3 linked regions of the Bombyx mori genome follow. The protein of the gene in region 3 binds, or shares a complex with, the protein of the main gene of each other region. Links are inferred from orthologs where the notes say so. Each region holds a gene or a part of one and is shown on either strand. Other genes may lie near its edges.

What was found.
Region 1: eukaryotic translation initiation factor 3 subunit F (region 3) and eukaryotic translation initiation factor 3 subunit A share a complex: the UniProt entries of both Drosophila melanogaster proteins name them as parts of the eukaryotic translation initiation factor 3 (eIF-3) complex. The link is inferred for Bombyx mori from reciprocal best matches to the Drosophila melanogaster genes eIF3f1 and eIF3a.
Region 2: eukaryotic translation initiation factor 3 subunit F (region 3) and eukaryotic translation initiation factor 3 subunit J share a complex: the UniProt entries of both Drosophila melanogaster proteins name them as parts of the eukaryotic translation initiation factor 3 (eIF-3) complex. The link is inferred for Bombyx mori from reciprocal best matches to the Drosophila melanogaster genes eIF3f1 and eIF3j.

The regions. Positions count from the first base shown.
Region 1 is NC_085122.1:3,664,802-3,675,299, forward strand, and holds part of eukaryotic translation initiation factor 3 subunit A, read right to left. Parts: coding exon 10,349-10,498; intron 9,543-10,348; coding exon 9,443-9,542; intron 8,930-9,442; coding exon 8,700-8,929; intron 7,318-8,699; coding exon 7,125-7,317; intron 6,396-7,124; coding exon 6,291-6,395; intron 5,215-6,290; coding exon 5,085-5,214; intron 4,162-5,084; coding exon 3,959-4,161; intron 3,389-3,958; coding exon 3,237-3,388; intron 2,917-3,236; coding exon 2,705-2,916; intron 2,042-2,704; coding exon 1,837-2,041; intron 1,096-1,836; coding exon 994-1,095; intron 622-993; coding exon 543-621; intron 1-542. UniProt on the Drosophila melanogaster protein: RNA-binding component of the eukaryotic translation initiation factor 3 (eIF-3) complex, which is involved in protein synthesis of a specialized repertoire of mRNAs and, together with other initiation factors, stimulates binding of mRNA and methionyl-tRNAi to the 40S ribosome.
Region 2 is NC_085125.1:12,542,556-12,553,053, reverse strand, and holds the end of eukaryotic translation initiation factor 3 subunit J, read right to left. Parts: intron 7,754-10,498; coding exon 7,589-7,753; intron 6,522-7,588; coding exon 6,382-6,521; intron 4,917-6,381; coding exon 4,854-4,916; 3' UTR 4,493-4,853; downstream 1-4,492. UniProt on the Drosophila melanogaster protein: Component of the eukaryotic translation initiation factor 3 (eIF-3) complex, which is involved in protein synthesis of a specialized repertoire of mRNAs and, together with other initiation factors, stimulates binding of mRNA and methionyl-tRNAi to the 40S ribosome.
Region 3 is NC_085124.1:488,433-499,391, reverse strand, and holds eukaryotic translation initiation factor 3 subunit F, read left to right. Parts: upstream 1-5,727; 5' UTR 5,728-5,782; coding exon 5,783-5,891; intron 5,892-6,158; coding exon 6,159-6,305; intron 6,306-7,227; coding exon 7,228-7,451; intron 7,452-8,702; coding exon 8,703-8,981; intron 8,982-10,425; coding exon 10,426-10,500; 3' UTR 10,501-10,600; downstream 10,601-10,959. Other genes in the region: DNA repair protein XRCC1, read left to right, coding at 376-486, 800-886, 1,246-1,413, 1,866-2,061, 2,422-2,681, 3,045-3,144, 3,207-3,354, 3,431-3,603 and 3 more. UniProt on the Drosophila melanogaster protein: Component of the eukaryotic translation initiation factor 3 (eIF-3) complex, which is involved in protein synthesis of a specialized repertoire of mRNAs and, together with other initiation factors, stimulates binding of mRNA and methionyl-tRNAi to the 40S ribosome.

The DNA of each region.
Region 1 (10,498 bases), on a different chromosome or scaffold from region 3:
CTAGATCGATTTATCGCTCCCGAAATTCCATGTATACTAAATTTTATGAAAATTGTTGGAGTCGTTTCCGAGATTCAGATTATCTATCTATATATATATAAATGAATTGCTGTTCGTTAGTCTCGCTAAAACTCGAGAACGGCTGGACCGATTTGGCTAATTTTGGTCTTGAATTATTTGTAGAAGTCCAGAGAAGGTTTAAAAGGTAGATAATTAAGAAAATGCTCGGAATTAAATAAAAATAACAATTATGTTTTCCGTTTGATGTGATCCCCGTCGGACGGATTCCTTTTGTTTGTTTTAAATTTATTTTATACAAAGGTTTAGGACTTTTATTTATCGATTGAGGCACTACGAAGTCTACCGGATCAGCTAGTATATTTGTATACAAGAATTGCTCGTTTAACGATATCAGATTTGCTTCGGGCCAAATTTCTTCAAACCTGTATTCTGATTGCGCTGTTGTGGACAGCCATATGTAACTTAGTATGAATTAGTGTTTAATAGTAGTTGGTACGAGTGAGCTGCTGCGTTGTACTCACGGTAGGCGCTGGTCGTGGCTCGGCAGGTCCGCGACGCCAGCTGGTCTCGGGTCCACTGGATCGGCCGCCATAGCGAGGTCTAGAACGTAAACGTCATAAACTTGATCATTACGAAAGTCACAGCTAAATTTCTAAGAAAAATAGTTAATCACTTGCGAATGGGTATGTTGAAACTGCAGATTTGAAATTCATTATAGTTACTACAAAGCATTCTCTATAAATTTAGTTATATCTTTATCTGACGTACTTATGTATCGTGACGTATCAAAATCGTAGCTAGTACTGTTTATATTATTCCATCGTATTTATTTGTAATGTAGCAATCAAACGGCCGATTAAAAATTATTTAATCTGAAGTTCCTATCTTGGTTACAGTATCTTGTGAAATTTTAGTGTTTTACGTGTGACATGACTGTCTTTTATCTTTCTAGAAGTTAACTTAAATTGATACCTGTCTCTGTCCGGTTCTCGGTTAGCTGATCTCCAGGCACCATCATCTCTCGGTGCAGGTCTGTCTTCCCTGGAACGATCTTCCCGTGGACGTTCTTCACGTCTGCAATATAATTTTGTTTATTTACTGATTTTTTCAAGTTATAGTTACCGTAGTTTAAGTGCAACAAATATGATAGATAGGATTTAGAAAGTCACAATTGCTTTATTTTTACTGAACTGCAAGCTTCTGTTCTTTCTTTCATTTGACAATCAAAAGATTATTGAAAAACATAATATGATGGCTGGTAATATTACTAGGATAACACAGTATATAGAATTTACTGTTACTTCACAATGTTCATTTCAGCAAGTTCAAGTTTGGCCATAAAATTGATAGATGAAGTGGTGAATATAGTATGTGGAATGGATATCTATTATAAAGAAACTGTAACGAAAATTGTAACTTTGTGGGAAACAATTGTAATTTTGTGGAGGATCAGGATCCTGTTTCAATAAAGTTTTGTTAGACAGAAAAGTATACATGAAGCGTTTAAGACGAGGGTTCGAGAGCTGTTTCTCAGAGAGTTAGCAGTCATCTGATTGATGATATTTATTTATATACATTTTTATATGTATATATTTATGTATATGTATTTATTTAAGTACGAGTATTTTTATCTATAAATATTATGTATGTATATACACATATGTTTAAGTAATATCACTATCACACTATACCTACCAAGTTTCATCTCTGCACCCCTTTAAGGTAGATTGTCAGAGAATGTCTATGGCATAAAGGTGGACTTTATACTGTCTAGTATATAAAGTTATATAAAAAAAGTTATGAGATAAAACATACTTGTCTTCCCTAGCCCAATCATCCCTGGGTGGTGGACGATCGTCCCTGGGCGGTGGTCTTTCGTCCCTGGGCGGTGGTCTTTCGTCCCTGGGAGGCGGACGCTCGTCCCTAAGAGACGGCCGCTCATCCCTGGGGGGTGGACGATCTTCGCGGCGTCGTTCCGGACTGCGAGCTCGCTCGTCACGTACGGGTTCACGGACACGACCTAAAAATAAAAAAATCATTTAATCCATGAGACTGCTTCCATATGATCATAATATAACGGTAGCACGTTAGCCAGCGACTTGGCTCTGCCACTGGCATTGCTTATGTCCATGAGCGACAATAATCACTAACTATCAGATGGGCCATATTCTCGTCTACCTACAAGGGCCATAAAAAAGCATAATATAATATTCGTGTCCAATAAAAGTAACTGATGACATTATTGTATCTTTAATTACTTACAGTGATTGCAGAGCAAAAACAAAAATATTAGTTTTTTTTTTCTTTTCAGGAAATGGGACTCCTGTATTTCGTTATATCAAAAAAAGACACCAGTTTTTTGTCTGATTTCAATTGTTAAATATATTTTTTAAGTCCGAATAACAGACCAGTTGCCAGTTACAAGAATTAAGTGTCTTTTAGAACAATGACCATAATCTCCACTCTATTCTACATTGTACTTTATCATTATCAAAATAATCAGTTTTTACAATAAGTGTGTTTTGCTTGTCTTTTTTTTAATTGCCCTTGTTGTCAGACGAGCATACGGCCCACCTGATGGTGAGTGGTTACCGTCGCCCATGGACTTCAGCAACGCCAGGGGCAGAGCCAAGCCGCTGCCTATGCTGCTTGTGCATGAATACAATACATTAATTTAACGTACTGGTTCTCCATTGATCAGAGGACTTCTTTTCCCCAGCATCAGGTGCTTCCTTGCCCCTCCAGGCGTCGTCTCGTTCGGTAGGGGCAGGTTGTCCTCGTCTCCAGCTGGAGGAGGTGGCGGGCGGGGGGACGGCGGCGCGTTGTCCCTCCAGTTTCCGTTGTATCTCGGCTTCCTTGGCGCGGGCCTTGGCCTCGGCGCGTGCCAACATCTCTCTATAGAATAAAACAATCATTACAATTTCATTACTGGTGGTAGGACTTCATGAGTCCGCACGGGTAGGTACCACCATCCCGCCTATTTCTGCCGTGAAGCAGTAATGCGTTTCGGTTTGAAGAATGGGGGCAGCCGTTGTAACTATACTGAGACCTTAGAACTTATATCCCAAGGTGGGTGGCGCCTTTGTAGATGTCTATAGGCTCCAGTAACCATTTAACACCAGGTGGGCTGTGAGCTCGTCCAGCCATCTAAGTAATAAAAAAAAACCTAATTTTTAGCTAGAAACTAATTGTACAAATTTATGTAAATAACAAACTTGTGTTCTTTCTCTTTTTTCTCTCTCAACGCTTCCATTTCTTCTTGCTGTTTCCTCTCTCGTTCTTCCCTTTCTCTCTTTTCTTCCTCTTCCTTGATGCGTCGAGCTTCCTCAGCCGCACGTTCCTCAGCGCGACGCTTCTCTGTTATCCACTGCAATAATAAATTTAGTTTTCTTTTTAATATTCTTGTTACATTACAAGTTTAAATTATTTAGCTAACGGAACGTTGAAAAGATTGAATACTAGTACATTCGTAACTTTGGATATCATTCATATATGAGGCAGTCAGCGCAATAGTTTGTGCTTACGTATTGCAATTTATTTAAAATATAATAAATTTTGATGCAAAATCTGCCTATCCCTAGTTTCATCCATAGATAACAGATTCCTTTGTAAACATCATTTTAGTGCGTATTTTTTGCCTATTATATTATTAGTATTGTAAAGGATAATTCGAACCTCATTATCTTCATACTAACTATGGTAAGCTTAGGCCACTTTTGCATTGACGGCTTCATATCAGAAATTTATTAGTTTTGCTTTAATGGTAACATATTAAATTTTTATGTGCATGTCTAGTCTTCATTATCGGGAACAATGGTGTTGTTGGAACATATAAGAGTTGTACTCATTTAAAAACCAACTGTCTGACAATCTAATGCAACGTCTATTGAAATTTTCCAAAGATCGGCTGTAGGTTATAATCATATCAATCTTTTACCTCATGTCTTCTCTTCTCGATTCGCTGAGCGCGTCTCTCAGCTAATCTCTTTTCCTTCTCGGCTTGAAGTTTCTCGTTGAAAGCGGCTACCTTTTGAGCGTAGGCGGCCCCACGTTCCGAGCGAAGTCGCGCCATGAATTCGTCGCGGTGGACCGCCATGCGGGACATGCGCTCCGACGTGGCCACGTCTAAGGCGCGAGCCTCTGAGGCAAGGAAATTGTATAATTAGTGGCAAGACAATATGTCACATCCAGTGAGACGTGCAGCGACGTGTAGTCACAATTACATTACTTTTACATTTTACAATTACATATTACATAGTCGCAGCTTTTCCTTCGCCTATTCGAAGCACTGGATTGCAAAACTCAATTCTGCTGGATTCAATTTGTTTTTAAATACTATAGTAGAACTATTTTGTCGGCGCAGTTTGGGTTATAAGTCATAGCCCGGCTAGGGTGGTGACCACATGGCGCGGGCCCTACGCTATTATCGATAAAAACAAATGAGTCATCGAAGGCAGGTACACGGCGGCGGGGTGGTATACGAAAGGTGGTGAGACATTGTTATGTTATGAGTCATTTGCACCGACCTGCAAATTATAGTACATAACATGTCGAAGAGAAATGTGTTTTTGTGCATTCACTCTCTGAATTTCTTTAGTGACATAATGGTTACTTCTTTGTTTTGTACCAAAACGGCAGAATTTATTCAAAACAATATTTTGCCTGTCGGCAAAAATATACCAGCACAAGCATGTGTTGTTATCAACAATGTTTTAAAATTTTTCACTGAAATGAAAATAGAACCCGAAAAGTTACAAAGTGTTAATTTCTGCCGTTCTCGTTAACTTGCTGCGGCGATATGTAGTGTAAGTTTATTATTATTATTATCAAGATTAGTGATATTTTTTTTCATTTTTATCACTAAAATGACAAAATTAATACACTATCGATAAAGCTTATCGACAACAATAATGCGCATCACTATGCTCGTCCATAAGGCCCGTGAGTGGAAGAGACAGCGAAATACTCGCTTCACCGCTCCGATTATTTATGTCCCAAATTGCACGGACAAAATAATTCAACTAGAGTTTGTTTAGTGTTAGTGTTTCGCATTTTTTGCTTACCTATGAGTTGTTCGATGCGTTCTTTTTCCTGTTGCTCCCAGAATGCCTTGTCTTGAACCTGTTTCTCTTCCAGGCTCTTCTGCAGAAGTGGTATTTCTTCCAATCGCTTGGCACGCTCAAAGTAATCCACCTGTTTGTTATTTATATTGATGAAAATTCGTTTATGAAATAAAGTGTTACTAGTTTCGGTTAGGAAGACACAGATATATTACATATTAATGTTAAGATTTTAACTTCGTGTTGGTAGCGTTTACACTTTTACTTAGCATTTCATGTCATACCAGTTGGTGGTGAATTTCAAAAAGGTTGCAATATTTTAACACTGAACCAATTGTTGATGTAAAATAAGTAAGACAGGATGTGTCAGCCATTTTGTGGTAAGTGCGTGTCAATTATTATTTACTAGCGACCCGCCCTCGCTTCGCTTCGGAAACATTAAATTTTATTATTGATATAGGCGAAGCCCGCCATGTTACGTGCGGTAGGACAATAACTGCGGGTGAGGCCGCGGGGCGAAGCTAGTCTAAAAAAAAAAAGTGTGTGTGTCCGCTCCGACGCACGACTGGAGTTTACTGGATATAAAAAATTAAACGAAACAATACGAGAAATAGTTCTATATTACGAAAACACGATACACTACAGATTATTAACAAATTAACGAGACACAAAACAAACGACTAACAAATATATGAAAATACAATAATGAGAGAAACGCGCGATCAGTACGAGGCTTTGTGGCGGACTGCCGGCGCAGCAGCCCGGCGTCACCTGCGATAACGCGGCCGCGCGTTGGCTCCTGATTGGCGCGCGCACGCATCACGCAATCAGGAGCCAATCAGGCGCATAACGCATTTCGTGTGACATGCTAGTACGATTTTGGTCCCCATAATTTTCATACCCCGGGCCTATATATGTAAATCGATTCTAAAGGAGTAAACTCCAAAAAGTTGCCCAAGTTACTCTTTATATCATCAGCTACCTATTAGTGAAAGTCTCATCAAAATCGGTTCAGCCGTTCCAGAGATTAGCCGGAACAAACAACAGACAGACAGACAAAGATTGTAAAAAATGTTATTTTGGTGTATGTACCGTATATATATTCATATGCATGTAGTAAAAAGCGGTTATTTCAATACTACAAACAGACACTCTAATTTTATTTATATGTATAGATTGAATTTCTGGATATTTTAATGTTGACAGTACCTTTTTCTCCTGTGACTTCAGTCTAGCCTGAAGCTCGCGACGTTCCTTCATCAGTTCTTCAGCTTCCCGCTGAGCAATAGCTTCAGCATCCATTTTCTTAAGATCCTGCATTCAATAGTGAAATAATGTATTTTATATTAAGTTTTTTTTTTATTTAGGTTTGTTGACCTTGTTGAATACTCTTATGTTGTGTTAAAGGAAATGGACAAAACGAATGTCCAATATTAGACTAAATAGGATTAGCTGGTTGTAAGAATACTCAGGATGCGAAAAATCATTTTTATTAGAACTGCGACAAAAACGAGTCTGGCAAGCATAGGAAATCAATTATGTTTCTATTTTTCTAAATTCTAACACAAACTATGAAACTTAATTAAACATTCATGTAACATTGTTGGGTATCAAAATGTGTAAGTTAACCCTAGACGAATCACTAATACATTAATCACATGCGACATCATGTGTCGTGTAGTTAGCGTTTGGCTTGACGTGAAAAATGGATACCGGACTTTTTATAATTTCAGAAAAATAGTTTTTGAATTACATATAATCAATCAAAAAAAAATAATTTTTTTTATTCAACATAAATGAAAGTACATACTTGTTGAACGTCAAAAAGAACTACCGCCAATTCACAAAAACTAGCCTGCGTCCTGAGAAGAACTGGCAAGAAAATCAGCGGGCATGTTTTTTTTTTTTAATATTAGATTTTTTTAATTAAATTAATTAGAAAGAGATCTATTGTAATTAAGATTAAGATATAATTATCGATTATTTCCTTTAATTATCTTATGTTCTTTAATGCAGCAAATGAGAACAGTAAACAAGACGAACCTCCTCATTGAGTTTTCCGAGCATCTTTTGTCCGTGCGCGGTCTGAGAGATGTGCGCCATGCGTTCCTTGAGGTGTCGCTCCCTCATGGCGGCCAGCTCCGACGCGTGGCGCTTCTTCTCGCGCTCCTCACGCTCCTGCTCCAAGCGGCGGGCCTCGGCGATGGCGGCCGCGCGGAGCTGCTCCTCTTGACGCCTGATACGTCAAATCATTTCGTTAGTTGTTCCGGTTATTATTATTTTTTTATTGCTTATGCGGGTGGACGAGCCCATAGACATCTACGACGTAAATGCGCCACTCACTTTGAGATATAAGTTCTAAGGTCTCAAGTATAGTTACAACGGCTGCCCCACCCTTCAAGCCGAAACGCATTACTGCTTCACGACAGAAATAGGCGGGGTGGTGGTGGTACCTACCCGCGCGGACTCACAAGAGGTCCTACTTACCACCTTTGCTTAGTCCTATTTCTAATATTAATTAACGATCGTCATAGCTCTGAAAGCTTTTAGTGGACCTGTTTTATTTTTCTAACCTATCTATAACACGGGTCAACACCAATTTTGACTTTGATGGCAAAACTTAAAATTTCGATATTTTAGATCGTAATTAGACGAAAAAATAATACATGGCATGAAACAGTTTGCTTTTGAACTTTAATAAATTGACCACATATGAAACAAAATGCATCAGCATCGTATTTACACTTTCGTGACATTTTAAGTTTTTCTGGGCTTGTACAAAACACCTGACCGTTGTTTATGACTCGAGTGCCATCTAGTGGCACTGTGTGAACGTAAACACCCCACTTTGATAGCGCGTTTTTTTTTTAAAGTATTAAAATTAATAAAAAATTTATAAAAAAGTTGAAAAATGAGTATTATTACTATAACTATCACAAAAGCAAACTTTTGTTTTCGTTTTTGTGAATAATTAACTGGAAAAATCTAGTATAAACGTTTGGACAAAGAACGAAATTTTTTTTGTAGTTGTGTAATTTAGCTAAATTAATTCAATAAAACACATGAAATATAATAGCGGAATTGAAAGCCGATACATCAAATGAAAAAAAATGTGCAAGCATACATTAACACAGGCTATACACGTGTCGTATATTCTGTCGCGTCTAGCTACAATACGATCTACCTCTGAGGCCTACCATCATATAACCATTTAGGGTTACAAATGGGATTTATTTCAGAGGCACAAAAATTACAATGACTTCTTAAGAATTGAATATACATAACAGATTTAAGCAGGAGGCAGTCCTTTAGTATCATACTAGTGTATAGTGAATTAGGGCTGTGTAGTCGCTCTGTCCTAGTACGGACGTGGTCTGGTTGTAGGACAGATTGTAGTGAGTGTGTGCGGGTAGGTACCACAACCCAGCCTATTTCTGTCTTGAAGCAGTATTGCGTTTTGGTTTGAAGCCTTTGTAACTATATTGAGACCTTAAAACTTATATCTCAAAGTGGGTGGCGCGTTTACGTTGTAGATGTCTATGGGCTCCAGTAACCACTTAACACCAGGTGGGCTGTGAGCTCGTCCACCCATCTAAGCAAAAAAATTATAATGTTTACCTGAGTTCCTCCTCCTCGCGCACGGTGTTGAGTCGCTCGATGTACTCCTTCCGTTCTTCGATGATCTTGTGGCGCTGCAGCACGCGGTGGTGCTCGGCCTGCTTGTTCTCGTGGTAGTACTGCACCATGGCGGCGCGGGCGCGCTCCCGCTCGGCGCCGCGCCGCTGCGGGTACAGCGCGCCCACCACGCGGGACAGCACCTCCGCCGCGCGGACCAGCTGCTCGCGGACCTGATTATAGACACGTCAAGGGATTTTTAATTTTTTAAGTACGCGTGCATATATTGGAGAATTCGTATCTATTTGTTTTAATGTATTTTATCATCGAAATGTATAGTAGGGAAAATAATTGGGAGAAAAAATTTTATTTGGTAAAAAGATAATTTTACAAGGCTTTTTCATGATTGTTGAGAATCGTTCTTGTGGAAAACACTAAATATATTAAAAAATTTAAAATATTTTATCACATTTGAAATATTAAATTTACCATTTTAGTAGTCATACATAACTAAAATAGTAAAATAGGATTCATAGAAATATTATACTGATTTGAATAAACCACATCAGATGATTAATAACATAGTTAATGTATGTTTTAAAGTCTTAAAATCTTAGTAAAAACTATATCATCAGTACGTCATTTAACTCGTCCAAACTAATAGGTACACCATGTCACAGCCCATCGAAATAAGTTCAATTGTAAATGTTATAACACTACAAGTCCATTATTCATAATGCGCGTACCTGTTCCGCCGGGGTGGCTTGCAGGATGGCCCCGCCGCAGGCTTCGTCCGCGGCCGAGCACCACTCGCCGCCGCCCGCTTCTACGCCAAAGTGCACGCACCTGATTGTAAACAGAAATAGTAATTAAGAATTAAACTGAACAATTACCCTGCCAACAGTACATTTTGAGTCCCCTTTAGCCGACAACCTAATAGGGGTGTATGGCTCTAATAAATAATAAAAAAGTCCCTTTAGCAAATGAGATGTTATAGCACTCAGAGAGAATTGTGGATCTGGATTAGATTTGGATGAAACGTGGCAAAAACATTGAATTAAAATGGGGAGGTTTTTCCAAACTCTTTTAAATAGGTACCACTTATTTATCTAAGTTTAAGTGAAAAATGAAATGGAAGTAGTTATTACTATAATGAAAGCTGACAGAAAAGCTCTTTCATATCTACTTATGGTACGCGAGATAGACGTATCGTAAATTTATTATAATAGCTTTCGTTACAATAAATAAAAATTACTTAAATTTATTTGAAAAAAAAAAGGTTGTCTATGTTTAGGGATACTGATAAAATTTCAAAATTATTCTTAATTTATGGGCAATAAATTAGATGAATGATGAATAGCACAGTTTTAGTAATAGTCACAGCAAAATTTGCGTAATTATTGGTGGTAGGACCTCTTCTGAGTTCGCACGGATAGTTACCACCATTGTTTTAAAGATAGGGCAGCTGTTGTAACTATACTGAGACCTTAGAACTCATATCTCAAGGTGGGTGGCGGCATTTATGTTGTAGATGTCTGTGGGCTCCAGTAACCACTTAACACCAGGTAGACTGTGAGATCGTCCACCCATCTATGCAATAACAATAAAAAACTGTGTCTATGCTTTAGTTTTATACGAAGTTCGCAACGTACTTGTTGGCGTGATCGATGCGTATCTGCATGTCGTTGTGGCGCACGCAGTCGACGAGCAAGCGCTCCAGATGGAACAGGTCGTCGGTGGCCGCCAGCTCCAGCAGCCGGGAGAACTGCACGCACGCGTAGCACTGGGCCACCTGACGGATC
Region 2 (10,498 bases), on a different chromosome or scaffold from region 3:
ACTGAATGAAACCATTCAGTAACTAAATGCGATTACACCTTCCTAAATGCGTTTCTAATTAGGCTTCGCTAAATGATTCAGTTAGTCAGAAACCATCCTTGCTACTGAATTCAGTAGACTAACTTACTTAATGCTATTACACTTGACTGAAATCAGTAGCGACTGAATTCAGTCGTCTAAAATCAGTCAAGTGTAATAAGCCTATAAGCTGTAGCGTGCAATATTCGGTCGCACTCGGGCGTCATCGGAGTTCCCGAACGCGCAGGTGTCCCGTGACGTCATGCAACAAAATTCGCGCGCGTCGATTTAAGTTGAATGTAAAAACGTAATTTTAGTTTTAATTTGTTTCTTCTAGTGCCTAGCGTTGTTTACTTTACTTTTGGTTTATATTTTAATATTATATACATTATAGATATTGTTGAAATGGTGTGTTTGACTTTTATATGTTAGGAGTAAAACATCCCGCGAATGCGAGGGACAATAATAATTAACAAACCACAAAGCTACTTTTACGGCATAATCTTCCTGTATTAATGAACGAATAGCACCAAACGCACCATTACCAAACCCTCAAAATACTATTAGTTCGTTCTGTGTGAAATGAAACGTAAAAGATGAGATTATTAAAAAAATAGAATTTATTCAAATGTCGAATAACAATACAAAAACGAGAGATTAAAACCTACAATTATATTCATATATTCATAGTTTATTAAATGCACAATTTTTTCCTATTCATTTAAGAAAATAGCTAAATCTCGTTTGGGCTCCTTGAAGTAAATCTGTCACTGTTTGTCATTTTAAGAAATGATTTCAAATTTACTATGCACTGTCAAAACCTAATCGGATTACAAGCGACTTTCTCTCGACAAATAGATTGTGATCCAGGAAGCTAAGCTATAATGAAACTCAAACAAAAATATTACCGCGTTACATAAAATCATCGTGGTCTGCCTCTTACCATTGTTGGTGTTCTTCCGCTAATGGATTAATTAGGCGCTAACCGGTCGTATTGTGACCCAAATATACGGTCGTGAAGCTTATTAATAACAGAGTGAGATACTGCTATTCATGCATGCAGGCAGGGACGTCTTAAATTAGGCTGGGGCCCTTGGGCACACAAGAATTTGAGGCCCATTTGGAAAGTAAAAAAATATTTTTTTACTGATTATGACCAATCAAATACAGTATGATATAATATGTCATTAATGATATTAGAATGCTGCTGGTTTTTTGGTTACGATTACGATAGCGGAAACCTTTATCGTGATCGCTAGATGGTGTACTTAGTAAATTAGGTAGGATGCGTTCGGAAATATTATTAATTAGTACAGTAGGAATAGGCGCAGTCATGGATGTAATGGCGTAGTATATGCCTTGAAAATACCTTCTGATAAGATAATGGATTTGTGAAAAAAGTGTAATGTGCCCGACAAAAATGTTTTGAGAATAAATGTGTGAGAGATTTTGTCGGTCCTTCGGGGCCCCCTGAGAATGGGGGCGCTGGGCACGGGCCCCGTATGCCCTTATGGTAAAGACGGTATTGCATGCAGGCTTCTAATAGGTATCCCCTTTGTTGTTAATTTCAGAAGATATGCCGCGAAAATGGTCTGTATTCGTTAGATTAAATTGGGTTTGTAAGTTTATTGCACTAGACTTTTTTATATAGCTTAGTTGGAGGGACGAGTTCACAGCCCACCTATTGTTAAATGGTTACCGGAGCCAAGAGACATCTACAATGTAAATACCGCCACCTACCTTGAGATATGAGTTCTAAGGTCTCAGTTTTCACAGTACAACGGCTACCCCACCCGAAATTCAAACCGAATAATATATAAGGTTAATTCTTGAAAGTTAAACACGTTCTTAAATTATTACACATATTTGGCTTACATCATAAAGTTGCGAAACAAGATACATTCTGAATCCAGTTTTCGATCGGAAATGCGAACCTATTCGTTACTGATACAGGATGTTATGTATATATATATGCTATAATAAACTAAATTAATGTCGTTTATTGTCCCACCCACTGCCACTGTCTATCCTTTTTTTTTATTGCCTTTGTAGGCAGACCAGCGTACGGCCCACCTGATGGTAAGTGGTTACCGTCGCCCATGGACTTCAGCAATGCCAAGAGCAGAGCCAAGCCGCTGCCTACTGCTACAATATAATAATATATAAGACAAGCAAAGTTAGTTTCGTGGTAAGATCTCTTGTGAGTCCGCACGGGTAGGTACCACCACGCTGCTTATTTCTGCCGTAAAGCAATTATTTATTTATTTTTATTTATTACACTTCATGTAAAATTTACATTAGCGGACTTAATGCCTAAGGCATTCTCTACCAGTCAACCAAAGGTAGTGCAGAGTAAATAGTGGTAGGTGCAATGAAATTTATATTAGGTAACGAATACATACAAAAAAGTATATCTACATATATACACACATACATACATATAATAGTTTATACAGTATTAAAAGGAATATATTAATAAATTTCCTTAACAAATAACTTCATCAAGTTCATGACGATTCCGCTAACTTTTCCAACAGCATTCGCCGAACCCTTAACTTGAACGTGCAGCGGTTAGTAATAGTCCTGATCTCGAGAGGAAGCGCATTCCATAGCAGAACAGATTGCACGACGAAAGAGTTACGAACATAACTAGAACTATGTGTGGGACAACGAATTAATAGGCTATTGAGAGAACGTAGGGCCCGCTCATGGCTGGAGTGAAGATATTGAAAATAGGAAGTTAGATAGGAAGGAGGTTCGGGAGACATAAGTAAGGAATGAAGAGTCGTCAGTGCACGTAAATTACGACGCTGGCGAATCGGTAGAAGTTTGAGCTGAGCACGATAGGAAGATATATGATCATATTTACGAAGATTAAAAATAAATCGAATGCAGTTATTAAGAAGACGATCAAGTTTATTAAGAAGGTCTGCATTCAGGTCAAAATAACACACATCACCATAATCAATTATAGGGAAGATCAAGGCTTGTACTAGCATAGTCTTGGTCGCTGATGGTAAGAAATTCTTGAGGCGATACAGAGCACGAAGAATTCCAGAGGTTCTTTGTCCAACGTAAGATAATTATGCGTTTCGGTTTAAAGGGTGAGGTAGCCGTTGTAACTATACTGAGACTTATAGAACGTATATCTCAAGGTGGGTGGCGCATTTACGTTGTAGATGTCTATGGGTTCCAGTAATCACTTAACACCAGGTGAGCTGTGAGCTCGTCCACCCATCTAAGCAATAAAAAAAAAATATTTTGTATTTGTGCTATTTCCCAGTGCAACCTTACGACAGATAAGCAATGAGGGTTCCAATGGTAGACACTCACTCCATCTAAGATTTACAACATACAATTGAGGCTTCTTCCACACTCATCAGGACGTGGCGTCAGATTTTAGAATGTGCAAGGTCACAATACACGAATATCGAAAGACTTTTACTGCTTACATAGGTGGACGAGCTCACGGCCCACCTGGTGTTAAGTGGTTACAGAGCCAAGACATCAGTAACGTAATTGACGGCACCTATCTTGAGACAAGCGTTCGAAGTCTGTTTTTATAGCACGACCCCATCCTGCAAACCGAAACGCATTACTACCTCACGGCACAGACTGGGTGGTGGTACCTATCCGTGCGTGCTCACAATACCAGTAATTAGGTACGCAAATTATAATTTCTGCCGGTTTAATTTTTATTACACGCTGTTTATTCCTTCACCGCGTGAGTCATTCGCGAACTCTTCTTAAGTACGTACTTCATTAGAAAAATTGGTACCCGAGTGCGGGATTTGAACACCCGCATCGAACGATAAGAATGCACCAGGCGTCTTATCCTTTAGGCCACGATGACTTTAAAAGGCAATGTGTTCGAAGTTTACTTATGAGTCTCTCTATTCCATCGCAACTTTTCAATGTCTGTCCAGATTGGAATGTATAGGATACATAATTATTGATTATAACTATGAATGATCTGTCTGTAATCTGTTTTTGAATAGTCGAAATATTTTTTTGAGTCTGTGTTTATACTGGAACGTGTATATTGTGCGAGGTGATAAAGACAAAGACACATCAAGTTTGAGACCCGTTTAATGTGAGAAGATTTGACACAGACTAATCTAATCCCAACAAAAAATGCTTTTGGCAAATACCTTTAAATATGTAACACCAGTGTTTGGTCATTTGCTAACAAATATTGAACACACAAATAATACAATAAAACGTGTTGATCAAATAAAACAAAAATAATATCACAATAAAAAAATTTATTCTCTATATATAACATCGGACAAATAATCGTTCAATGAAACTGTACATTACATGTATATAGTATGTTTATATGCTATACAATGGCATATTATATATTTATCGAGTTGGATTGCTAAATTGTGTAGATTAGTTTATAGAAGTAACAACAATGGATTAAGGTAACAGCCCAATTACTTACAATTCAGTTCGATTTTATGTCACCAAAGATACTCTATGTATTACATAATCGATAATTTAAGCATTCCAACCGGATGTTTAAAACTTTATCATAGCAACACCATTACCATTACCGTTAGCGTAAACAATGCTATGATTATTTTCTTACCTGATGTCCGAATTACATAAATCGATTGTTGTTATCGACAATATCGATTTTGGCCAGTGCCAAATCGATTACCGACAATAAATAAAACGAGATTACAAGAAAACAGACTAACGCAATATCATTCTACAAAAAACATTTATATATATATATAGGAAAGTATTTTTTTTTATATAGTAAATGAAGTTGAAAATTCAATGAATTCGGACATCAAATTTGTGTATAAGTTCCTTATTGGCTTTATTTAAATGAAATCATCGTAGTCGTCATCGAAATTCCCATATGATTCGTATTGATTGAGATGAGCCTGAAACGAGAAAAGTGTAAATATATAAATACCCACGATTGAGAAAATAGTGAAAATTGAAAAAAATTGTACGAGTGAGCTCAACGAGTTTCTTTATTGAATGAGATTTAGTGCAGTATAAAGATCCGTTTAATTGGCTTTATATGCGACTAGCCGTACTCGCCCGCTTCGTTGGGCATTTAAAATTAACATTATTATTAGGGAGTCCAAAACTCATAGAAATATTAGCCTATCTATTAAGTACATGTATTTTCTACATGGATACCAAGTTTCAAGTCAATCGGATGCATAGTTCAGTAGTTATAATGGAACATTCGTAAAAACCACTGTAGATTTATATATTAGTATAGATGTACATTTGATTTCTCTACTAGTCTACTTTCGTAGCGTCAGAAATTCACCGGATCAATGAAGTTATTGTAATATTTAAACCTGTTAATCACACTGATCATCTCACAATCGAATGAACAACTATCAATATATTTTTCCAATTTAGCAATTGCAATGTCTAATAATACCAACAAAGTTCCATCCGTAAAGAATTGGAATGACTTTAAATGTTCAAGAGACGCTATAAGCATTATGTACTGTAGGTTCATGCAAGGGTAAATTTTGTTTCAATCAAATGTTTTTGTTTTTCTCTCACAAAATCAAACTGGCTAAATATACAATTATTGTTCAAGTATAGATTAGGCACGAACTTGACCTATGTCGATACTAGCGCGGTCTGATATCAGCTTATCGACAGCCTACACTTCCTTATCAATCACGTTTATCATTATCACACGAATTATCATTATTTCGTGAAATTTGCACGGTAATTTTACAAAAGTTTTCCTTGGTACAAACACAACTTTTTTTTTAATGTAAATTGTCTGCGCTAATGCAAAATTCTGCTGTTTATAAACATCAAAATATTGTAATTGGATTATTAAGATGTGAAGTCAAAGGACTGTGTGTTTTGAGTTGTTTTTGTTTTTTTTTATTCGTATTGTAGACTTTAGGGAGATTACATATCATGTGGATACTTTAACTCATGTGAACTGCCTACATAAAAACATAATTTAGTCTCAGATTTAAACTGGAATGTTGATTGTTTGTTGTAGATATTAACAGAACCGCTATGCCCATCAGAGCTGACTGTTTTGTTTTTTTTATAGCTTAGATGGGTGGACGAGCTCACAGCCCACCTGGTGTTAAGTAGTTACTGGAGCCCATAGACATCTTCAACGTAAATTCGCCACCCATCTTGAGATATAAGCCCTAAGGTCTCAAGTATAGTTACAACGGCTGCCCTACCCTTCAAACCGAAACGCATTACTGCTTCACGGCAGAAATAGGCAGGGTGGGACCTACCCGCGCGGACTCACAAGAGGTCCTATCACCAGTAATAAACGCAACCTTACAACATACCTTAATTACTGGATATTCGAGTTACTGATAACTAAATAAAAAATAAACTCACATTGTCCCCTTCAAGTTTTAACTTGGCCTTGCCCTTGCCCTTTGTGGCCTTCTTAGTTTTATCATTCTTTTCTGCCTTCTGTTTTTCAATATATAGATTATCGACAGTCAATTTTATTCGTCGGATATCCGCTGATGACACTGTAATTATAGATTCTTCGTCATACTTCAGTCATACTTTATCATATTAGTCATACTTCACCCATTTTAAATACACTTTCACATACAATTAACACATTACATAAGTATTAACTCTCTAAAAAGATCATATGACAAAATAAATTTATTTGAGGATCACAATTAGAAGAAATATTATTCTCTTATGGAGATATTGAAAGCTAGATATGTCATTAAAATCTTAAACGTTCAATGCATCATGCCAATGATTTAACATGCAGCCATGAAGCCTGATATCTCATAAAAGCATAATGGCTGCTGCACAACAGATAAAAGCAGATGACATTTCTTGTAATATGAAAAGATCTAAGCATAGTAAGAAAATTTATTTCCTAATGACTTTAGATGAGATCTTGCGTACCAGATTAATCTGGATATGTTTTTTTATTGCATAGTTGGGTGGACAAATTTACGGCTCATCTGATGTTAAATGGTTACCGGAGCCCATAGATATCTACAACGTAAATACCGCCACCCACCTTGAGACATGAGATGTAAAGGTCTCACTTTTAACAGTACGACAGCCGCCCCGCCCTTCATAGCGAAACGCAACAAAAAATCCAGAATTTATTAAATTTTATAAGACTTTTTACACTTTAGCGGCATCTAATGAAAGAAAGTTCACAATCATAATAATGGAGTTGCTCTGAATTAACTTCAATCTAGAAATGAAAGATTTCATTTATAAATGTCATATTCTACATTGGTGACCACCACTGACAATGAGAAGATATTTACTTCACGATGATGATTACGTATTAAGCAGAACCAAGCCCCATATTAAGCATGAACTATATGTTTATTTATTATTAGGTGAATGAGCTCACGGCCCACCTGGTGACAAGCAGTTACTGTGACATCACAATGTGAATGCTGCCATACTCCTTGAGACATTATGTCGAAAGTCTAAATTGTGCAGTACAACGGCTACACTACACTTCAAACTGAATGCATTACTGTTTCACAGCAAAAATCAGCAATTTGAATTACAAACACAATCAATGAAGTCATAAACAATGAATTTTACTTACTCTGGACTAAAATATTCTTGACTAGGTCATCAATGAATCCTGGAAATTCATCCTTGGCTTTATAGAAAGTGATCTTCTTTGTAAGGAGATCAGCAAACTCTGTGTACTCTTCTTTTGTAGTTGGGTGGAAATTGTCAAGTTTACCAATGTTACCTTCTGTTACACCTGTAATCATTTTCATGGGTAAGTTATCTAATCTGATAACTAGACATATTATAATAAAAACATTGTCTCATATGACTTGAGGCAGTTTTAAGACTTGCCAAGAAATTGTGCCAAGTAATCTTAATATATATTTTGGACAATCAATCATTACATTTGCTAGTAGTTTTGAACACAATAAAATACGATTATTGTATGAGAATATGAATGTTTATTATTTTACTCAAAAGCCTTATTGTTATTAATAAATAATAAAATAAAATAAAATAAAAAGCCTTTTATTTCTTGCATTTAAAAAAAAGTTACATTACAAAAATTATAAAAAAATTGTTGATAATACATTAATAATAATCGATATTAATTATGATAGAATTCTTAATAAATTGTGTATAATATTAGTCGGATCAACATAAAATATGTAAAAAAGGTTATATTAATTTAGCATGCAGGCATGCAAGAACCCCTCTTATGTGAGGGTGAAGGCCTCCTCCAGACTTTTCCATTTGTCTTTATTTTTGGCAATTGTCTTCCAGTTTTTACCAGCGATTTTTATTATATCGTTGTCCCAACGCGTTACCGGTCTTCCTTTCCTTCTAATACCTGCAGGCCCCCGCCATAGCGTGAGTCTACAGGTCCAGCGGTCGTCGCTCATCCTGGCTACATGGCCTGCCCAGCGCCACTTTAACTTTTGTGAGAAATCTAGTGCATCTATAACTTTAGTCTTTTCCCGTATGACATTATGTGGGATTTTTTGTATTTTTCTCACATTCGTAATGCTTCTCTCCATACTTCGTTGACAAGACCTGATTTTGTTCTTTACGCGTAGCGTATATTTCCACGTTTGGCAGCCGTAGGTAATAGAGGGGAGCAGGCACGTGTCCATTAGTTTCTTTTTTAAGTTAATAGGCATCGTTCCCTTTAGTATGTCTTTTAGACTCCAGAATTTTTTCCATGCGCCTGAAATCCTTCGTTCAACCTCTAATTCATTGTTTTGTTTTCCAAAGGAAATTTGTTTGCCTAAGTATATGTAGCTATCTACGTATTCTAATGGTTTTTCGTCGAGATATATGGGATGTTTTATACTGTTCGACATAATTTTTGTTTTATCTAAATTCATTTCCAAACCCACTTCATAGCTCATAGTTTTTAGCGAGTGTATCATTGATTCCATCTCTTTAGCACTTTCAGATAATAGAATAATATCGTCCGCAAATCTTAGATGGTTGATGAAATTGCCGTTAATATTCAGCCCTTTTCTTTCCCAATTTAGTTTGCTGAAGACCATCTCCAGTACCGCTATGAAAATTTTCGGAGATAGTGGGTCGCCTTGCCTCACACCTCGCCTTATGGGTATCGGTGGTCCTGTCGTCTCAAGTTTGACTCTACTTGTGCAGTTGTTATACAAACACTTTATTATTTCTATATATTTGTGTTCAACGCGTTGTGAGATTAGGGCGGTCCATATAGAAGAGTGTCGGATTGTGTCGAAGGCTTTCCGATAATCGATAAACACAACATAGAGTGTTTTCTGATATTCATTATATTTTTCGACAATTTGTTCAATTGCGTGGATATGGTCTATTGTAGAATATCCACGTCTGAAACCAGCTTGCTCTATTGGTTGGTGTTCCTCTATTCTCTTACTAATCCTCTTTTCGATTATTGATGAAAAAAGTTTGTAGAGTGTGGGTAGCAGACTGATAGGACGATAATTGCCTATATCAGTGGGATCACCCTTTTTGTAGAGTAGAATCATGTTCGACTCTGACCATTGAAAAGGTGTGGTGCCTGAATCTAATATAGAGTTAAAGAGCTGTGTCAGAGGATGTGCAAGATATTTAGAGCCTATTTTTATTGCCTCGTTAGTGATTCCATCGGGCCCTGGACATTTTTCAGCTTTAAGTTTTTTTATTTCTTCTATAACTTCTAAATCATCTATCTTTTTTATCTGTGAGACGTCTTCCGCTGGTACTTGTATGCTGGTGCTGACAGATATATTTGTAAAGTTTTGGACTTGACAATCATACAGTTTTTTGTAGAAATTGGTTGCGGTTTTCATAATATCAGTCCTATTATGTGATAGTTTATCTGACTCTTTTAGTTGTTTAATCCAAGGCTTGTAGGTAATTAGCTCCTTGTACGCCTTTTTAATGCTCCCAGTAGTATATGTTTTTCAAATGTTTTTGATCGATGGAGCATGTAGTCTCTCCTTATGTTCTTACTTATGAGTTTATATAAAGCTTTTAGTTCATTTTTCAATGCTCTTGTTTTTGGTTTGGTTACATGTAGTTGCTGTCTCCGCTCCATGAGTTTCCTAGTATAGGCTGATATTACACTAGGTTTAGTAGTGTGTTTTTGGGTGTTTTGTGCGCTACGTAGACTTTTTTCTATATTGTTATTATAATGTATTAATTATTGGAGGAATAATTATTATTGCTCAAATTTATGCAATAATAAATGCTATTGTTACACCACAACCAGTAAACATAAAAAAGCAGTGTATTTATATTTCTTATTTTCCTCTGCATGTTGTGAAAGGCAACTAAGGATTTCACCAGAGAATGGGTAGAAGTATTCTCTGTATAAAATCAGCATACTATGATTGTCAACTGACATTTAATGAAAGAAAGGCACAACATAAACCCACACAGGTAGATACCACAATCCTGCCTAATTCTGTCGTGAAGCAGTCATGCCTTTTGATTTGAACAGCTATTACACAATTCAATGAAGACTTTATGTTTCAAG
Region 3 (10,959 bases):
AAGAGTTGAAAATAAAGTTATCATAAATGTAATGGAAAGTTATTTTGTACTTAATGAGCATGCAGTAGAACCCTAATTAATAAAAATATAGTACAGTTTTATTAATTTAAATTCAAAAATTTCTAAGCCATATAATTTTTTTTTTTCTAAGCCCACATAATATCAATGTTATTAGACTACATCTTACCCCTGGTAACCTGCTGCTTTAGTGTTTACTTACAACTATACCACAATTCAATTCTTTTATTTGGGGTCTGGAGATACTTATTTTCATCTCAAATGTGTTCTGCCATCCATAACACAGGAGAAAAAAAGGGTTTGGGTAATGTTCTTTGTAACATGTATAGCATAATAGTATCTTTGCTTCTCTACCAGGATCACCCAGCTAACAATCTGTTGGCATTGGAAGTGAACAAGAAGAAATGGCTGTGCTGCAAGGGAGAGTCTTCCTGCTCAGTCGTACTTCAGCTGGCCAAGGCAGTCCAGGCAAGCTCTTAACAAACATGATCTATTAAAATCTTAAATTTTTTCATATTTGTAATTTTGATATACAAACCTACGATACAAAAAGGGCATGCTGAAATGTAAATCTGGTCTATAGTTCTATACCTTGTTCTAAATCACTCTTTTCTATAGTTTTTGTATATTTTGATTATTTGTACTCGGAAATGGGTTTCTTTGTGGATATAATAATGATATATCAATAGACAATAGTCAAGATAGTTTTCTTATATAGTGTATGACTTCAACTTTCCTCAAGTAAACCTGGCAAAAAAACCAATAACATCTTAAAAATCAGATATCATCAGTCTATCTTGGTGTGCATCATGCTGCTACTGTGGAGGTGCTCGTTGGAAGATCTGAAAAACCTGATGAACCCTTTGAGGTATGTTTACTCAACTGTTAGGGAACTTTGCATTAGGGGTCTTGTAATTGATGAATATCTAGGATGCTTAGGAGGGAACAGTTTCAAATATGGAGGCTTCTAAAATAATAGTGTACTTTGGAATCACTAAAAAGGTTACATTCAAAAATGTAGCTTTACTCTGGTTATCATCATATCTGAAGATGTCAACAAATGTCTTCACCATGAATAACAGGGTCTATAATTTTATATAAGAATAAAAATAGGATTGAAAAACTCAAGGGATCATGTAGGGCATATCCCGGCACCCGGCTGCTTCTGCTGCCCGTCGCTTTCAAACATAGATATTGACAGTGGAGTGACCGGAGAGACATGCTCAGGTACTGGTCCCCAGCAGCGTGATGTTGTCGCCCAGCGAGTCCCGGCGCGCCGAGGGCGTGCAGCGCGTGCGGGCGTGGCGCGGCGACCAGCTGGCGGCCGCGGCCCGGGGGCGCCGCTGGGACCGCCTGCGGGTCGTGTGCGCGCAGCCCTACAACAGGCACTGCCAGGTACCATGCGCCCCGGTTGCCCTAATAACTATCTATCTAACTAATATTTTATAAGTAATATATAATAAGTATTAAACACTACTAAAACCCGCGGTCATGAGGATCGCTAATAGTAAAACATAATTAAATTTTTTAAACATCATTAAAATAACGTAGGGTAGGACGTCCTCCTGCTAGATAAAGTGACGACCTGCGCAAGGCAGCTGGCAGTAACTGGATGCGTAGAACCGAATATCGGGTTCAGTGGCGAGTTTTGGGGGAGGCCTATGTCCAGCAGTGGACTGCCGCAGGCTGATGAGGATGAATTAAAATTGTTACATTAGGATATAAAAATAGTTTTGCTGTGTCTTCGATTCGCGAGACCTGGCAGAGATGCTATTGATGATATTCATAAGAGTACATATTCATTTTTATAAAACTGTTCATGGCTTCAAACTAATATAACCTTTCAGTTCGGCCTCTCGTTCTTGCACATCGACGAGCCCGGGGACGGACCCCCGCCCGCGCCGCCGCGCCCCCTCGCCCTGGACACCTTCTCGTCGGACGAGGAAGAGTTCAAACCTGGGGAATTATTCGCTAAATACTACACCCAGAAGGATAGTCCGCTGAAACTGGGGGACGATAAAACTAGCAGCCCGGCGAGTACAGGTAAATAGGTTTTAAACTGAGCGGTGTTGTCAATAAGGTCGATAATTCAACAGCTGCCAATTCTGAACCACAATTTTCATGTTCTTGGATATAATGTTTATAAATGAATACCTAATATTAGTCAGTTAGGAAACGAAGTTCAAACACGGTTCAGTAGAACGGCTTGTCGCCCCGGGCTGCCCCGGCCGGCGCCGGCACCCGGGGGCCGCGGCACGTCGGTGTTTGCCCCGGGGTTGCTCTATAATTTTATTTATTTACAATATAAATTTTATTTAACTTAATATTATTTCCGTTTAAACTTTAGACGAGTGCTTAACTGCGGGTACGTCTCGCAGCTTTCATACAGAATACAATTTTCAGAATCCCAAATACACAAGGCGACGTCCCGCGCGCTCCGCAACGTTCCCGGGGACTCCCCCGCCGCCTCCCCCGGCCTCAGCGCGGCGGCCACACTCCGACAGAGCAAACAGAACAGGCCGGCCGGGCGGCGCCGCTCCGACAGCGACGGGGACGCTCGGATGCACGATGAAGAGGACACCAGACACCATGCAAAAATAGACCAAACCGTTAATAGACATAAGGGTGACAAGATGACCGATGACAATAGCGCGGGGGACCCGGTGAGCTAGATTTGTCCACCAGATGCAGGAGCGGCGGAAGCGGCGCGGAACGCCTGTCGCGTTGTTGCCGGGAATATATATTTGGTTGAAGGACGGGCCAACCCGCGGTGAACAACCCGTTGACTTCACAACGCGAATGTTGCCTGAGACGTGAGGTCGAAATGTCAATTGTATTGTATAATAGCCTTCTCGTTTATAAACTGGAATACGGATATAGGCAAGACGGCGGTACCCAGTGTCCGTAAGTCGCCTTTCGACGACCCGGCTCACGGCTTGCGGTGACGAACAGACAAATAAGGCTTATCCTATTATACTGTATTAGTCATCAGGGGTGATACTGATGTCCATATTGTGTGATCACAGAAAGAAGTCCAGAAAAATATAGACAATATATCATCGAGAGCAAAGCGGGTGAAGCGAGACGACAGCGCCGGGACCGCGCCCGCCCCCCGGGGACAGCTCGGTGAGTCGCCCGGGCCGCTACACTCCACACCTGACCGCTGGTGTCATTAGTATATGTTACAGTCGCGTGTGTCGCAGCGGACGTGCTGCGCGGCGTGCGCTTCGTGCTGAGCGGCTACCAGAACCCGCTCCGCCAAGAGTTGCGCCGCGAGGGGGTCGCGCTGGGGGCGCGCTGGGAGCCCGTCTGGGGGCCCGCCTGCACGCATCTCATGTACGTGCCCTCCGACCTCCCGACATGTTGTAATGTCCGTTGTGCCACGTGGAGTACAGCGTCGTGTCGCCGGCAGATGCGCGTTCCCCAACACGCCGAAGCTGCAGGAGGTGCGGCGCGTGGCGGGCGGCGCCGTGCCCGCCGTGCGCGCGGACTGGCTGCGAGCGTGCCGCCGCGCGCGCCGCCGCGTGCCCTGGCGCCCCTACGCCACGGAGCCGCACCAGCGCACCGCACCACCACACGCTGCAGGTTCACGCACCACGCCGACAGTTCGATTGCTCATTCATTAATAAGAACAGACGGACGCCGCTACCAATATTTTTAAACCACAATACAAAATTAATTATTATTATTATTTTTTATTTCCTTTGTAGGCAGACCAGCATACGGCCCACCTGATGGTGAGTGGTTACCGTCGCCCGTGGACTTCAGCAATGCCAGGGGCAGAGCCAAGCTGCTGCCTACAAATTAGGCAAAAATGTAATTAAAACGTAATTTTGACCAATTACTTGTCGTCCAGAAACTGACGAGTCAGCGGACACCGACGAGGAAGTGCGGGACCGCGGCCGGGCGCCGAGCCCCCCCGCCGGCGCGACAGGGTCGAGGGGGGGCAGCGGCGAGCCCGACGTGCAGTTCGTGTGCGACGAACGAGTCAAGGCGTCGCTCGCGGTCGAGTCGGACTCGGACGAGACCGACGCTGGGGCCGACAGCGGCGCCGAGCACGCGGCACGTACACTCTATTACTAACGGATTAGTTAGTAATAGAGCTCGTCCACACATCTAAGCAATAAAAAAAAAAAAAAAATTACTTTTTTTTTAAATATTAAGTATTGTTTCCAGATAGACGACAGCAAGTCGCTGCCGGCGTTCTTTGAGGGAGTAACGTTCGCGGTGGAGGCCGGGGACACACAACTGCGGGCGCGCTGCTGGCGCTACCTGCGGGCCTACGGGGGGCGCGTGCTGCAGGTCGCTCGTGCTGCAGGCACAACAATATGACATGCCCTTCTTCAAACGAGGCTTGTAGAGAGTACTTAACGATAGGCAGCGGCTTGGCTCTGCTCCTGGCATTGCTGAAGTCCATGGATGACGGGAACCACTCACCATCAGATGGGCCGTATACTCGTCTGCCTACAAGAGCAATAAATTTATATTCTTATATTTATATTTATATAAATTTATATTAATTCAAAATAGTTAAAAAATTTCATGATTGTCACATTTCCTCTATGATTGGATAAATATACATATTTTCCTAATTTTAAACAAATGTACATTTTTCAGAAGTCTCAGCTGGATGAGGACAGCCGCGTAGATTACGTGGTGTGCGACGACGGCGCCGCGCCGCGAATCAAGGGCCGCGCCGTCACTGCAGCCTGGCTGTGGAAATGTCATCAACAACGAAAACTGTGTCCAATATAACGACAGCTCAACTTGTGAATTCCTTTCATTAAATAACTGTCAGCTAACAACGCCTTTTCTTTCACAAATCTCAGTAAATGACCACCATTTTACTAAGATCCCATATCATCTCATTTCATTTAATTTCATTCTAGTTGATTAGGGTCAATTCCCACTGAAAGAGCAGCGGCCGGCAGCGTCTTTTTTAGGCAAAATATTACAAACTATTTTGAATCTTATCTACGTGATTAAAAAGTTCATAGTCATTTGAAGGCAAAGGAGGGGTAGCGTGACGTCGCGAGGCTGCACGAGCCTTCTACCGACTAGTCAAAAGAGGCGCCGCGCGGCTGATCGCGGCGCAGCTAGCTGACGTGCGGCCGACCGCGGTGCAGCTAACAGACTCGCGGCTGCGCGCGAGCGACCATTTCATACCCGCCCGCCCTGCCGCTTACGCATTTCGCGTCATTTTATTAGAGGGTATCAAGTTAGAACGTGCTACGCTCCGTGAGAAAAAAATGTACCCAAAATTTTCTTTTCCTTTTTCTTTCCGTTTTGTTTGTTACTTCTTGTTCTTCTTCTACAGCCAGTGCTATGATACATAAATCCAAATCCACCATATTTATTGCCACACAACTTTCCTTGAGTGAAGTAGATCGCACACTAGTTTTCAAAGCTACTACGCGGAGGTTCATTGCGGCGCCTCGGGATGCCGCGCTGCCTCTCGCGGCGCCGCACTGCCCCGCGCGGCGCCACACTGCCCCTTGCGGCGCCGCGCTCAATCACTTGCTCTTACGGCCGCTGCGCGCCGCTGCTCTTTCAGTGGGAATTGACCCTAATGTCTCAAATTAATCATCTTCATTTTATTTCATTTCACTCCATATTATCATTTTTCATAAAAATAAGACATGACTTAAAGGTCTTAATTACCAGTTCATAAAATCCCTAAAAAAATTAAAATTAGCAGAGATAATACCTACAATATTCTCTTGTACTCTGTGTTTCTGGGTTTGTAGTTTTGGTCGAATTAAAAATGGCTCTCAATATTAGTGTGAAGGTCCATCCTGTTGTTTTATTTCAAATTGTGGACGCATACGAACGTCGAAATGCAGATTCTCACAGAGTTATCGGCACCTTATTGGGTTCGTATTGATTTATAAATCATGCAATAACTATAAATTCAAAGGACATTAGTTGTCAACGTCATGTCGTGTACCAAATTTTATGAGTTGTTATTTAAAAGAAAAATCCCTAAATGCTAAATATGTACGTCAATTATCATTACACATTTCACTTTGGCTTTTCCACATCAACGTTATAGTTAATTTGATAAATTCCTTGGTCACATAAGCCAGGTGCAATACAAATGTGTAAAGGCGTTGTAAGGTTATGTTGTGCTGTTGCTGCAGGCACGAGCGACAAAGGAGTGGTGGAAGTAACCAACTGCTTCTGCGTGCCACACAAAGAACATGCCGATCAAGTCGAAGCGGAACTTAATTACGCGATGGATGTTTACGAGCTGAACAGAAGAGTCAATTCCTCTGAAAGTATTGTTGGTGAGCTATACCTGCATTATACTCAAATTCACATATGTAACAATACTCACAGACGCATACACACACAATTTACACTAATTATTATTATTATTATTATTATTATTAATGCTTTATTTCAGTTATTATTTTTTTTTAAAACCATAACATTTTGTTAGTAATAATTACTTATAATCTATGTTAGTAACTTAAAAATCTAACACATAACTATCATTATATTATACATTTTATACCATTATATATTATTATTTTTCTCCTTCCAAGTGCCTACTGCAAAGGCTATTGATCAGCAGTCCCTCGATCTTGCTCGATATGATTCTCAAAAGACTGTTGTCACTGTCACGAACTCGACGCAATAACGATGCACTTCTCTTCCGCATTATTGCAAAGAAGTCATCTGTGTGAGATGTCGCAAACATTGTGGATGCACTACAAAAGCGCGGCAGTGACAACATCATCCTAAACGCATTATTATATTGGACACGTAGGGCATTGTAAGCTCTCCGCGTGTATGTGGTCCACAGACTACTGGCGTAAAAATTCTGGCAATAAGCTTTAAAAATTGTAAGTTTGACATAGCTATCGCAACCAGTAAATCTGCGGGCCAGCATGTTGCATCTTACTATCAACTAATTGCCACATCATCATCATTTTCCTGCCCTTCTCCGAGTCACCTGGAGTCGGCGCAACATATTTTCTCCGTTCATACTCCTCTATCATAATACCATTTCTTCGCTCATTCCACTCTTACACATATTGTCCTTCATGCAATCCATCCATTTCTTCTTAGGTCTACCTCTTCCACTATAGCCTTCCACATTTATAGTTAACACTCTTGACAATTGCCAATTAATAAAATTGGATCTTTTACTTCCCTTAGCATACCTTATACATTTAAATTCAAACTCATTTGTATTATTTTTAGGTTGGTGGGCGACTGGCAATGAAGTAACCAACCACTCCTCTGTTATACACGAGTATTATTCCCGTGAATGCCGTGAGCCTGTCCATGTTACTCTGGACACTTCGCTGGCTGGAGGTCGAATGGGTTTACGTGCATATGTTTGTGTACCATTGGGAGTGCCAAATGGAAAGCAAGGTTGCATGTTCACTCCTGTAGATGTCACTCTCACATGCTATGAACCTGAGGTAATTATTGAAGATTTTGTACTGTATTCATTGTCAATATTTGCTTTATTAAGCAAAAATATGGTGAAAACTGCTGAAAGGCCATTAAACTCTGACTGTTACAGGTTTAAATTTGTGTTCAAAAGGCTTCAAAATCATGAGCTGTTTTAGACTCAAATTTGTTAATATTTCAATATCCATGAACTCCAAAACTGCATTGTGTGGAATCACATATTGTTATATTGTTAAATAAAAAAAGGGTGCGTGTACTTATGTGCGCGCGTAAGAAGTTATACTTAATTTTTATTAATTTTTTTTTTTTAATAATCATAAATTAATAATAAATATTTAATGTTAATAATTTAATAATGTTTAGTATGAATTACAGTCAAACCTGGATAAGCGAGAGTTAAAGGGAGCACAATCTCATTCTCGCTTATAGAGGTTTCTCACTAACCCGAGTTTCTCCCTAATGAACCCTCTGAATGTCATTTCGCGATTTTCCAGATTCAAACGCATTCACTATTTTAAGTTTATCACTTAATGACAGTACTTTAATTTTCCGTTTTGACATGATGCAGAACAGATTTTTCCCTCGCGATTGATTAACGATAAACTGAGTAAGTCTGACAAACAGGACGGTACACCGGGACACGTGTCCATTCGAAAAGAATGCGATAAATTAACAACGTTATTTAGTTCCACGAAATAGAATAGGTTCTATATTGACGAGAAAACAATACAAAAACAATGTTAAAAAGTTCCATGAAATTTAAGAATGGGTCATAAAATAGCAGATGTTAAATTTGTAATTTGTTTTGTCATTTGTTCCTCCTAAATAATATTATTATAAATAAATAAAGCTCGACTGTCGCTTATAGAGGTATAGACAAGTAGCAGTCTCACTTACGGAAGTCCATAAGGGAAAAAACTACTCTCGCTTACAGAGGTTTCTGTCTCTCGCTAATAGAGGTCTAAGAAGCTAAAAATGACGGGTCCTGGCTATTACTCTCATTTATAGAGTTTTCTCACTTATCCAGTTCTCACTTACCCAAGTTTGACTGTATATTAAAATCCCTTATTAATCTGGTAATTCCTTATTAGCAGGAAAGGCCTGAGCATATTAAAACGCATTACTGCTTCACGGCAGAAATAGGCGGGGCAGTGGTACCTACCCGTGCGGACTCAAAAGAGGTCCTACCACCAGTAAAAAACCTATCTAGAGTTTTAATGTTTTGCGGCATAGAGTAAACGTTTGCTTTGATTGATTAGATTGTAGGTCTACAAGTGTGCCAGAAGACTGTGTCTGGTGGAGGTCGCGGGTCGAGCGGCGTGGCCGCGGGCTCGGACCTGGCGCAGGTGATGTCGGCGGCGAGCTCGCTGGAGTCGCTGCTGGAGCAGGCGCTGCAGTACGCGGACGGAGCGGCCGCCGGAGCACCGGCCGACGCGGAGGCGGGCCGTGCCCTATTGCAGCTCGCACATTCCGCACCTGACCTTGCCAAGGACACCTTCTCAGATGCCTTCGCCTCCAGCGTCAAAGATCTGCTCATGGTAAGTTCACACTCAACCACTCTACCGTGCTGTGGGCTTAACTAGAACATAATATATGAGTAAGTATAAAGGATGGGACGGTTTCTGGACATCTTTCATGAACACTGACATCCAGGCGAGACTATGAGACAATTTGTTAGCTGATCTACTTGTGTTGCTAATGGCAATTACTTACACAGGGACTATACAAGTGCCTATGATTATTCATCCAAAACTTGTGCTGAAATATAGTTTTGTCAATTCTGCTGTCCCTCATCAACAGTACTAATGTCAGCCAGTTCTTGAACATTACCTTTATATAGTGCTGGGTTTGATTTACCATTTGCTTTTAAGCATAAGATATCATTAAACTCACAATGATGCATGCAGACTGCATCATAACAGTGAACTTTCAAATAGTATCAAGATATAAAATGTCACCATAGATTTCTTACCAACAAAAACTACGTTTTCAGTAACTCTTAGCATAATGCTGTGTACATTTTGAGTCGAACTACACATATTTGAATGCGTGGTTGGCCAATAATGAATCACCTTAAAGCTGGATGTTGTGCACTTTCCTGGGCATAGCATATGCAAATATTTCCCATTCATTATTATTATTGCCTTCCATAGTGACAATAATTATTAAGAGTCCCTTTTCCAATGAATTACATTTATTACACTTGAAGTGTACAGCGATAACAACAGAGATCTCCGCTCCGTTCGACTGCTCGGACCGGAATGTTTTGTGCGATTTTTTTTTTCCTACCTAAGCCGATAGTCTTGAGAGGCTATTTCAGCGTAACCATAACTAGTAGGTGAGCTCACGCGGCTCAAACCTGACGTCGTTGCTAACGCGAACCCTAGCAATAGCCGTGATTCGCAGAATCTACCACCGGATCGGAAACGCGACCCACTGAGAAGATCCGGCGAGCTGTGTCTTAGGGTTAATTTACTCGTCGAGCCCTTCGTCGCAAGCGACGGATTCGACGAGAACGATGACCGGTGCTTGAGGTACCTCAAAGCACCGTTAGTGGATCGGGAGGAACGCTGTGCGACAATAGTCAGTCGTCGTATTTATAATAGACTAGCGACCCGCCCTCGCTTCGCTTCGGAAACATTAAAACACACAGGAAACCAAAAAAATAAAAAAAAAAAAAAGGAGCCTATGTTCATCAGGGACAATGTCGGCTTCTAATGGAAAAAGAATTTTTCAAATCGGTCAAGTAGTTTCGGAGCCTATTCGAAACAAACAAACAAACAAATCTTTCCTCTTTATAATATTAGTATAGAAAAGTGGGGATAGATTAGTCATGAATTCTCTTGAATACCGTCGCAGTTGACATATTATGTAACATTTAGGTAACAGTTAACTTTATATTGAAATTGAAATGGAACCACAAATGACTTGACAATGATTACTCTGATGACGAATCACTAACACAATTTTCGTTTGTTACAGGTGGTGACGTTAGCACAGTTGATCAAGACCCAACTCCAACTTAATGAGAAGCTAACTTTATTGACCTCCCAGTGAATACTACAATATATAAGGGAAGACCTAACGTCTAGCTTCGATTCTGTATCAGGCTGTAAACATCTCATAAATAAATATAACCAATAGGTTGTAAATCTACTGTGTGCTGTTTTATTGATACAGACTTATACTAAACTACTCTTTGAACTCAAGGTAACGTTATTGTGCTTACAATAAATAATATGATCAGTTGATTAAGATTCTTTAGTGTATTCATTAGAGCTGCTAGTACTTGTGAGGGGGGATTAGAGTATTGCTGCTGCTATTAAAAAAAGGGAATACCACAATAAAAATACAAAACAAAAAGTAGATGGTAGTTAAGAGTTCAGTTTAGATTTAATTAAGCTCGTCATTAACGAGCTTAATGCTTAATGCTACACATACTCAAGTCGTACTGAGCCTGGAGCGGGCGGCGGCTTCCGGGTGCCTCTCACATTAATGATCGTCGTTACTGTCGAA